Linked DNA regions of Schizosaccharomyces pombe. The gene in region 1 interacts genetically with each later gene. Each region holds a gene or a part of one and is shown in the gene's direction. Other genes may lie near its edges.

Region 1 (3,759 bases):
AGTGCCTGAGACAGCTAAGCAGAAATAAGTCCATGGAAAACTTTGAAAAACATAAAATAAGTGAATTGAAAGGAACAAATAAATAAGGTATTTTGACAATGGACAGAGAAATTTGTTTGAAGATTCTTCCTTTTTACACGAATACAATTGGTACCAAGCAGTTAAGATCCCTGCTTGAATTGCGGTCGTACTTTGGATAATTGCGACCAACAAGTAATGTGAATCTGTAATTTTGTATGCAATAAAGCAAGGTATCAAGACAGCAATGTTTGGAATCACTGTTAAAAACTGACAGAAAAGCAAGTACTCCTTATGACCCCATGAACGTTCAATTTCAACGCCATACACCGAGAGAATGAGAATACTTGAAAGTAGCGTAAAAACATTAGCATCAACAAAACTTGTGGTAATTATTGTCCATGGAAACAAGAACAAAGCATTTGGAACCAAATGAAAACATAAAAGAAAGAAAGTTACAATAGAACTCCTACCAAACACTTTGATGTAGATGCTGATTCCAAATGATATTGCAGAAAACAATACCTCTAGGATAAGAAGCCTTTTCGTAACCGAAAACTTGGAGAAATGATTCATTGATAAATTTTAGGTAAAAAAAAATAGTAAAGTTCTCGTTACCGTAAAAATCATCGACGTCAACAATTTTGGTCTCAAAGTAAACAATACCAGGATACCTCTAAGTAAATGGTGCAATCCGAAATAAAATTTCTAGCTGTTTGCATCTAAAAAATAGAAACTCTTACGAAAACTGAATTGGCCAAAGATCGCTTCACTGGAATATAAGCATAATAAGAAATTGCCTATATGGATTAATACAGTTAGTAAATTAGAAAATGAGAAGTTGAGATAAGACACTGCACCTGGTTTTTTAATGCCTTCTCAATAATCTCATTTACAGGGACATTCGGTAGCGGGTAAGATGATAGGTAGGTCATGGCTCGACCAGATTATAAACATCCAGAAAATTACATAACTTTGTAGCTTGCCGATTCTAATAGAAGATAGAAAAGAAGTTTAAACTCGCTGATATATTTGTTTGAGCACAACCTGGTTTATCAAGTAACTATGATCGGTTCGGTTGAGGAGATAAACGCATTCAAAGTTAGAGTAAATAGTAAAGGGAGAAATTAATTTTTATTATATTTGGCAGTTTTTTGAGGGAAACCCTGATGAGAAATTGCTGCATATCGCTCTGCTGGGTTAAAACAAAGTGTTGATTCTCTTAATCGAATAATGTCTTAAATTATTAGTCATAATTCAAATCATCTTTTCCTTTCTTAGAATATAGTGAATGCATTGTTTAGAGCGGTCTTATATCAGAAAGAAGCATTCGCTTGACCTTGAAACATTTGTAATAGAAAATCACATTTCCTTAGCATGATAAGCGGACCCTGAATGTTCAAATTATTCAAATAAAATAGCAGTATATTTTAGAAATAAAAAAACCAAATAAGGCTCCTACCACTCTTGTATGGAATGTTGAGTACAGAAATAGCATACGAATTCATGAAAGTCAGAAAATACAATCTGGCTGCCAACTCCTTAACACAAACTTCTAAAAGTGAATTTTGATTGAAATTAAAAGTCGAAGAGAACTATTAGCATTGCCGTTTTAAGTTGTTAAGAGACCGACTTCAAAGAGGGAAAACTTTACTGAAATTCCTCGGATACAAAAAGTGGGCACTCGATTATTTTTATTTTGATCAAGCGCTGTTTAAATAGTAACCTACGTGCAAATAATAGAGCAGGAAGATTTAATCCACAGTTTCAGCCATCGCACGTATCTAGTTAAATTTCGGTAACTAATACTTCCACAACTACTAAAAACCGTCTCAATGGGAATTCGTCGACAATCCTTCAAGTTAAATCCGTATTGACAGGAAAAGAAAGAAAATAGAAGACTGTTGAGGTTTTAAGTGAAACTCGTTGACAGACCTTAAGATTTGACTTTAATTTACGTGGGTAGCTTGAACCATTATAGATTTAGAAATTGTGGAGGAAATGGATACGAATCAAGTTAATTATATAATCTGGAGATATTTGAAAGAATGCGGTATGTTAAATAGTTGGTTTTTGTGAATCATAGTCGCTTCATCTCTCCTTTTTTTCGGTTTCGTTAACATTATCGTGTTTTTTGTTGTAGGTTATTCGCATACTAAATTTGCATTTGAAAGGGAAACAGGCATCCAAAATTTAGACAAACAATGGGGAAGTACTTGCCAGGTTGGCGCTTTAGTCGAAATTCTGCAGAAGGGTTTACAGTACGTGGAGCTCGAAAAGCACTACGTTGATAATCACTCCTCAAACGAAGAAGCTAGCAAAACATCTATAGATGGAGAAAGTCTTGTAAATGAAAATCCTTGTAAACTCCCTTTCTATCTCACCGTACCTCATATATGCGAAACGACACTGACGAAAGCTGACTCTACCAATGGGTTTTGCGAACACAATAATTCTAATGATCACCAACTTAAAATTTTACAAGATAAGGGGTCTGGGTCGCCTTCATCTCCGGTCATGCCATTTAAGGATAAAATTGAGAAAAGGGATATTGACATTACTATGGCCGATGAATCAAACGTAGAGAAGGATCCGGCTCGACCTATAGCCGTGTACAACAGTTCACCTGTCACGGAAATAACAGAAATAAAACAGGTTACTTTTACTGGCGGCGAAGACATAAAGTCGGATTTTTTCAAAGTAATTCCTACCAAACACCCCGTTACCTGTGCAGATTGGCGTCCACTATTACAAGAAAATTACCATGTTTACGAATTTTCTATTGGTATGACAAACGCTACTCTGGCTTCAGTTAGCATTTGTGAAGAGCAAAATGATTTCAAGGCAAAAACAGATTATTGTCTGCAATCTTCTTTCGATAACCAAGATATCACTGGCGTTGCTTGGAATGTAAGGTTCAAATTTTTTTTTGAAATACTAACTTTTAGAATTCTGGTTCTTTTTTAGCCTACGCATTCTTCAGCGGTGTGATTGAAATTTACGATAGTCATGGTTCTCAAATCCTTAGCTTTCATAACAACAAAGGCCCTGTTTTATCTTTGAAATGGAGCGGTACTGATACATATCTAGCTGCTGGTTCGGCGGATGGAACTATTACACTCTTTGATCAACTGAAGCAAACACAATATTCAATTGACACACTTGCATCTTCCGTTTTAGACATTGAATGGATTAGCTTTGATGAATTTGTAACTTCGGATGTGGAAGGCTCCTTGCGAGTATACAAGGTCGATGGCAAAGCTCCGGTTTCTACAGTTTCTCATGCGCATGATAATTCTATTGTTGCTTTACGATACAATCTACGTATCTCTCTTCTATTAACTGCTTCTAGTGATACCACTGTTAAGGTAAATTTCTTTTGTCATTCTAATAATTACTGTTTTCTAACGTTTTGTATAGCTTTGGTCTAGAGGTGATGCTGGTGCTTTTGAATGTTTACATGTTTTTTCTTTTAGCTCACCGGTTAATTGTATTGACTGGAATTTGCGGGAAGGGACACCAATTCTAGCGGTTGCTTCAAACAGTATCGTTTCTATGTATAATGCTATTTCCCTTCAGCAACTTGCTGTATTCATGAGGCATACAGCTCCTGTTAGTGCTTTGAGCTTCAGTCATAACGGTCGCTATCTTGCTACTGGTGATACTTCTGGGGGAGTATGTATATGGTCATGCAAAACAGCCAAACTATTTAAGGAACTGGGTTCCGATAACTCAGAGTTA
Region 2 (3,759 bases), 1.0 Mb from region 1:
CAATGACCGTGTTTCGGCTTGTAAACTAACCGAACTTTTAATGCTTAATTATCGTGGCCTTTTGGATCAATATGTGCCTGCGTTTATTGAGGTTGCTGGTAATCTCTTACTTGTAACTGAAAAGCCAACTTCTCAAACATACCGCGTATTTTTGTTGGAGGTTATAATCAATGCATTATATTATAACCCATCGATGTCTCTTGGGGTACTTGAAATGCATCAGTGGACTTTACCATTCTTTGCGTTATGGTTTGAAAATATACCTTCGTTTACTCGTGTGCATGATAAAAAGTTGAGTTTGGTAGCTATTTTATCGGTAATTTCACTGGGAGCTCAACAAGTTGCTGTTGCTATCCAAGACTCTTGGGGTAATATAATGAAAGTCATGATAACTCTTTTAAATACACTACCTGAAGCATTAGCTGCTCGCGCGGAATTAGAAAAAGAGTATGACGGTGAAACATTTAATTTATCTGGCTCTGGTTGGAATGATGGCATCGATTGGGAAGCCGATGATGATGAGGGTGTCGATGACTTTGCCGTCGAATATGGGGGACCTGATTTGGGTGGAGAAATCTCGGCTGATGTGGTTGACGATTTTGACGAATTTGAGCATTTCCAAGGAAATTACTTGTTGGACGAGGATCCTCTTTTCCATACTTTGTTAGATCAAGTTGATCCATTTTCACTTTTCCAAGAGTTTATGGTTCATTTAAAGGACAACAGCCCTGTCACATTACAAGATCTTGTCAAAAATTTGGAAGCATCCGAGCAGCAATCCTTACAGAGATTGGTAACTGAAAAACCCTCTACCCTTGCTGTCGCTTCCGATAAAACATGAGCCTGTTTGGCGCTCTAAGCCTGTCCAATTTTGGTAATAAAATATAAAAATATAAAACAAGCATTTTCTACACAGTGGTAATAAGCCAAACTGACATATTTGAACGGCTCTTTTTAAATGGGAAATCAAACTCTACGGGTTTGTAAAAATAATTTCTTCAATGAGATACGACCCGGAATTATGGCTTGGGAAAAATGGATGGAGGGTTTGTCTAAAGGGAAGGCTAAGAAAATTATTGTTGTATCGGTTTACAGTTCGGTGAAAACAAACGCAGAGGTGTGTTTCTTTTATAAGAATTTTGGAACGCCAATTGATTAAATGAAATTTAAAATCATAATATACCAGTTAATAAATATGAGAAGTTTTAAAATCGATTAATACTAGTTCATTTGCTTTTACTTTATGCGAATTGACAAACGCAAGTTGATGAGAAAATGAAATAGAAATATATTTTTCTTGAGGAAATAAGCATAAAGTTAAGTATCCACGATTTAGTAGTATAGGGAAAGTCGGTGTTTATGAATGGTATATTAGATGTACGTTGAATTAAGCAGCTAACTAAATTGATAACGGCTAGTTTAGGGGTTGGATAATATGATAAACGGCTTTTACAAACTAAATTTGATAGACAGCCCCCCATTAACGATGTTGTTATATTGATAAAGCTAAGATTTGCAAGATTTATCTTTAAAGTTATTTTAAAAAGATATCCTTCAAATTTATGATATTATTAAAAATATCATAAATATCTTTAAGAGCCAGCGTTATTATACTATTGCTTCAAACTGTAATGATATTGTTGTTATAGCACAACGCTATCATATAACAGCATTCCAAAGCCGTAACAACAGTACATTTAATCGCGGTTTTTGGGTGAAGTTAAGACCTAAGATATAGGAATACATTTTTATTAATAATATGGGACTACCCCCTAAAACTATTGTTTTAGACAATGGGGCATACCATATAAAAGCTGGATTTGCAGGTGGAAAAGTTGTGTAAGAAGAAGTGCATCACGTCAATAAATTTCATGTATCTTTTACTTTTTTCAGCTAACGATAGTTTTTAGTGAAATTCCGAATTGTTTGACGAGATCAAAAGATGGAAACAGATTATTTTTGGGGAATGAATTGGCCAACTGTAACGACTTTACAACTTTACAATTTCGCAGGGCGCATGAAAAGGTACAGCATTTATGAGGGAGTATTATTTACGAACAAAATAAATACAAAGATTATGTTTACTAATACTAGTAGGGGTATTTGGTCCATTGGAGCACAGAAACAGCCGTATGGGACTTGGTAATGCGCAATGTAGGTGTGATGGAACCTAGCATGGCAGACTATTCTTTACTGCTTACACAGCCCGTATTTACAATGCCTTCCATAGAACACAATACTATACAACTCGTGTTTGAGGAATTCCAATTCGATGCTTACCTCCCTTGCACCCCAGCTGAGCTAATTCCTTGGGATCATGGAAGTTTCACAATGAATCAAGAAGATGCGTATACTGGTCAACATGGAGAATGCGTTTTGGTAATTGACTCTGGATATAGCTTTACACACATAATTCCTGTGATTGATTTCTCTGTTCAAGAACAAGCGGTAAAGCGAGTTGATGTGGGAGGGAAATTACTTACGAATTATTTAAAAGAAGTCATCTCATACCGGAAGTACAATATGATGGAAGAAACATACATTGTTAATGAAATTAAAGAGTCCGTTTGTTATGTGTCTCAAAACTTCAAGGAGGACATGGAGATATGTCACGAAAAACCACGGTCAAAATTGGAAATTTGTTATGCTTTGCCCGATTACAGCACTGGAAAACATGGATATATTGTTAGAGATATTAATCAAAAAATAGAGCAACAAGTTTTGAATCTTTCAAATGAGAGATTCATGATACCAGAATTATTATTTTCCCCATCTGATATCGAAATACGTGAGGCTGGGATTCCAGAGGCGGTCATGCAAAGTGTCACCCACTTTCCTGAAAATATACAGGCAATGTTGCTTGAAAATGTTGTTACAATAGGAGGAAACTGTAAATTTCCCGGATTTCATAAAAGACTATCATCTGAATTACGGTCGCTGGCACCAGCTAATTGGGAAGTTAAAGTTTTTGAACCTTCAGATCCTATTTGCTTTCCATGGAAAAAGGCATCTCATATGCCGTTGGAGCACTGGAATGCGAATAAAATAACTCGTTCTGAGTACTCAGAACATGGAGCAAACATAATGACACGAAAAAGGAGAATATAATAGATCACCATTTTAAAACTCAATAATGTGGGTTAAATTTCTATCTTCACAAAATTCTCAAGGCGAGCTGATAATTCGCATCTTAAGAAATTGGTTTATTACATTAAGGCTACAGCAATATAAAACGAAAAATATGCATGCATTAAGAATAAAATCTTTTTATATTAATTAACGAATCATTCTATCTCTTGATCAACCACTAAAACAACAGCTAAATAACTATATCTTTATTATTGTCGCCAGGATAATTCATACCTAAAAAGCGTTAGCGAAATGAAAGATATTATAAAAAAGATAGGAATGAAAATCAGTATACAAGTATAAAAATTTAACCACATAGTTGTGTCTTCAAGACTAATCGATTTGTAAAGCATCATATGTAACATTCTATCTCTTCAAGTGTTTATACTTACATATTATTAATGTGCCTGAAAAACAAGATTGAAAAAAAAGAAAAATTTCAGCACTTCTTCACTACTGTTTCAAGTGCATTTTATATGTACAGTGCAGTTTCAGGTTGACAGTATAAGAGTTAAAGCAACCTTGAGTTAGAGCAGTCACGGTATACTACTTTAATTAGAATGTAGCGCGTTGCGTTGCAATGTAGTCGTGTCGCGTCTGTTTACATTTTGGATAGAAAGAGCTTTTCGT
Region 3 (3,759 bases), on another chromosome or scaffold:
GTCGTCCTGCTTCTTCCATCGATCCTTACCTCGTCACTGGTATCATCACTGAGACCATGTTTGAGCATTAGACAATTTTCCCTCATAATTTAACGTGCAGGTCACGTCGACCACCCAGTTATTAACCATTTTGAAATATGTGTTTAAGTTTTTATAATATCACGTTTTTGTTTGTAGGACTTAATGAGTTTGTTGTGTAGTAATTTTGTTTATCAGCTTCACTTTTTTGTGATGTTTATCTTTTTTTAGAATATTTCATATGATGCATTCGTTGCAGTCATTTTTTTAAAGTATCACCATTTATCAACTGAGCTTGTTGCTCACCTTCTTATAATGATCAAGAGTGTTTTCATTGCGTATGTGAGGCTTTGATACAACCTTGGATTGTTCTTTTCTTGATATTCTTATACTAATATTAATGTTTCTCTTGTTTTTTTTTACCCAAGCTGTCCCTAAGTACAAGTACTTTACGAATCAGTTTGTCAACAACCCTGTTAATTTTTTTAAGTATTTTACAGTATTCACACAAGATTACGAATTTTTGAAATAAAACGATAGCTTATTCTAGACATGCAAAAATATATCTTTTTTGGTTGGTTACTTGTAAATTATCAATTGTGAATAATTAATGCATCTTTATTGTAAAGCTGATTCCATCCATGAAATCCATTCTTCAATGTTCGACATTTTTGCAACGCTGCCAGGAAGGAATTTAAGATCAGTATCTTCAATCTGATCTGCAACTGATTCCCAATCGACATCTTCAGAGACTATAGATTCGAGTTGAAGATTTTTCTCTTCCAAAATATTGTGCAGTTCAGCTTTTAACAATTGTTGAATTTTTTCCGCAGGTTGAGCAGTAAAAAGATCAAATTTATTACAGGCAATTAATAGATGAGGGACATGATGCTTGCGACATTTTAAAATTGTGTCAAACAACATCAATCCAACCTCGTGCACATCCCTGTCAATTGTAGCACTGTTGAGAACGAAAACTACAGCTTTTACATTATAATTTCCAGAGAATTTAGTAGTAATCCAACGTTTGGCCCTGGGATGCCCTGGAAGATCTACTAACCAAGCACCATATTTCCACACAGCTTCATTAGGTTCAATGCTAGGAACTGTAGTTTTCTTTTCTTTATAAATTAGCTATATAACAGTTAATAAGTATTCAAAGATTGTATATTATTGTTATACCTCACAAAACAAAGACGTTTTTCCAGAATCGCTAGGTCCAATTAAAAACACTGCTGGTAACTTCTTTTGAATTGTCTTTCTAGTAAAAAAAATTCCTAGGGTAGATATAATAGCTCCTATAATTATTGTAGCTACAATAATTTTAAAAGCTTGAGAAGTTCCATCCATATGCTGTTGTTGGTACCAGTTGGGTGTGTAGAAGATATATGTCAAATGTTACAAAGACCTCATTTTCATACGATCGTTGATTAAGATATATTTTTCAGAAGAGAGAAATAAATGTGAAAAAAAAAAAAAAAAAAAAAAGCATCCAAACTAGTTCTCGAAGTTTTGTTTAAAAAAGACAATTCTCGTACAGATTGCAGCAGTAGAGATTGACTGTACCCTCTTTTGAATTTAATTAAAACAATACAAAATACATTTTTCCTGAATGTATTACATGAGATAATTGCTTGATTAGACCAATCTTTGTTAATCGTCAAAGTATACATTTATATCATCGGTTCTTTTGAGTGGAATTAATTGTTGTGGGGCATCTTTAAGTTGTGAATTTGTGTAATTAGACTTATTGAATATTTTTGCTTCATTGTTTGCTCAACATTATTTATTATAGAAAAGTTCTTTTTGTTAAGTGATGACAATGATATAAATAATGAACTTCACGATTTTTTATTTTAAAATAATAAAACTATAGAATATTTTACATTTTGAAAGATAAGATTGCGTTGTTGTAATACTACTTCAATCCAAGTTATACTGAAGTTGCTGTCTTTCAGTCGAAGAGCTACTTTTATATCTACCTTTTTTACATTGCAGACTTGCCATCCCCCAACCGTAGATTTTGCTGGTTATATTAATTCCTTTTTTAAAGAGTCGTCTAACTCTCGTTATTAAATTGTGATACGAAGATGCCTCTTCCAGTACTTCGAGTTAAGCGTAAAGCTTCAGAAGATCCTGTTAACGCCCTATGTACGACCAAGCTTCTAAGTAAACTTTCTTTATCTAACTCCTTAATAATTTAGATTTGGAACTTGGAAACAATCCAAATTCTGTTTCAAGTACGAAAAGAAGGAAATTCGCCGGACGATATTGTATGCTACTTCTTGAGCTTTTGTGTTGGAATATTACACAAGGACTAATCATTTGAAAAACACAATTACCTTTTATTGACAGTTTCTAGATTTTAAACTATCACAAACGCTGAAGCAAGATGATCGGTATATTCAGATAAATGATGAATCTTCGGAACCCACTCATGAAGACGTTCGAAATATCCACAGTCATACAAAAATATCATCTCTAAAAAAGAACAATTACGGAATCCCTGTCGTCCAAACTTCTGAAGACGTTGTGAAAGCACCTACGCACATGGACTTGGGATCCCGTGAAAATACAAAAGGTATTCTTTCTTTCTCATCCCCACGCTATACAATTCAGAATTTACCTTCTACTCAAAGTAATAGAGTGTTCGACGCTATCCGTGTCGAACAAGGGTATGTCAACATCAAATAGAGTCAATTACTTAGTTCTGTTGTTATAAGAACTGGCTCTTGGCTTTTTTTACCTTAACTAACATTCATAGACATACTACGTATCATCCGCATCCTCAGCTAGATTCTATGATTCAAGAATATTTGTCAAATGGAGACCTTCCTCTTCAGCAATCTACGGAAGACTACGTATACGATATTTATGAAGCATCTAGCAAAGAACCAAACAAGCCAACGTTTGCTTATGGTGTAATTGATGCTTTGTCCATCCCAGACGCTTTTCGTTCTTCATTAGAACAGGAACTAGTCTCCGAGACAGTGGACTCTGATAAAGATGATCCATTACATGATGAAATTGATGAGGATTCAAACGCTGAAAGCTTCTATCAAAATAGCTATCCCGATGAAGACGAATGGCAAGATAGCAGTGAAAATGATGAATTTGCTTACTCCGATGATGCTGAGCAAGACTTTTATGATTAGATGTTTGCTACTTAAAAAAACGAACAAAATGGAAATCGGTTACAGTTTAATAGGTGAATGATATTATTTGGAGAAATTTATATCAGGAATTTAGTAAATTGTTCTATTGTATTTTTTAAAAACTCATACATTATATTGTGTCTGGGTAATATGTGTAAATTTTAATAGCATTACTATTTAGTTATATCATAGGATTCAATATGAGCCATGTTATTCATGAGTTTGGAGTCCACAATTTTGTGACTTGCAAAATCCTAGCACCAAGTTCTTGAATTTGTAGCCAGATTTAGCTACATCATAGACAATATGTCGACTAAAGAAGCAACTTCAGAGACTGCTGTCGATTATTCTTTGAGTAATCCTGAAACCGTCAATAAATATAAAATTGCAGGCGAAGTTTCTCAAAATGTTATTAAAAAAGTGGTAGAATTATGCCAACCTGGAGCCAAAATATACGATATTTGCGTTCGTGGTGATGAACTATTGAACGAAGCTATCAAGAAAGTATATCGTACCAAGGATGCTTATAAAGGTATTGCTTTCCCTACCGCTGTATCTCCTAATGATATGGCTGCTCATTTATCTC

The links.
Region 2: mutations in hif2 (region 1) and arp6 together harm fitness more than expected from each alone (negative genetic interaction), as found in Schizosaccharomyces pombe (2 studies listed by BioGRID).
Region 3: mutations in hif2 (region 1) and iwr1 together harm fitness more than expected from each alone (negative genetic interaction), as found in Schizosaccharomyces pombe (2 studies listed by BioGRID).

The regions. Positions count from the first base shown.
Region 1 is NC_003421.2:192,533-196,291, forward strand, and holds the start of hif2 (Set3 complex subunit Hif2), read left to right. Parts: upstream 1-1,831; 5' UTR 1,832-2,019; coding exon 2,020-2,071; intron 2,072-2,161; coding exon 2,162-2,928; intron 2,929-2,966; coding exon 2,967-3,386; intron 3,387-3,438; coding exon 3,439-3,759. Other genes in the region: protein pdh1, read right to left, coding at 1-594.
Region 2 is NC_003421.2:1,210,249-1,214,007, forward strand, and holds arp6 (Swr1 actin-like protein Arp6), read left to right. Parts: upstream 1-1,690; 5' UTR 1,691-1,759; coding exon 1,760-1,839; exon of another isoform or gene 1,840-1,910; coding exon 1,911-2,025; exon of another isoform or gene 2,026-2,097; coding exon 2,098-3,108; 3' UTR 3,109-3,411; downstream 3,412-3,759. Other genes in the region: nmd5 (karyopherin), read left to right, coding at 1-841.
Region 3 is NC_003424.3:1,592,804-1,596,562, reverse strand, and holds iwr1 (RNA polymerase II nuclear import protein Iwr1), read left to right. Parts: upstream 1-2,023; 5' UTR 2,024-2,108; coding exon 2,109-2,169; intron 2,170-2,222; coding exon 2,223-2,291; intron 2,292-2,380; coding exon 2,381-2,693; intron 2,694-2,782; coding exon 2,783-3,173; 3' UTR 3,174-3,261; downstream 3,262-3,759. Other genes in the region: glutamate-ammonia ligase Gln1, read left to right, coding at 1-71; signal recognition particle receptor beta subunit Srp102, read right to left, coding at 637-1,152, 1,201-1,368; peptidase family curved DNA-binding protein Cdb4, read left to right, coding at 3,480-3,759. UniProt on the Schizosaccharomyces pombe protein: Directs RNA polymerase II nuclear import.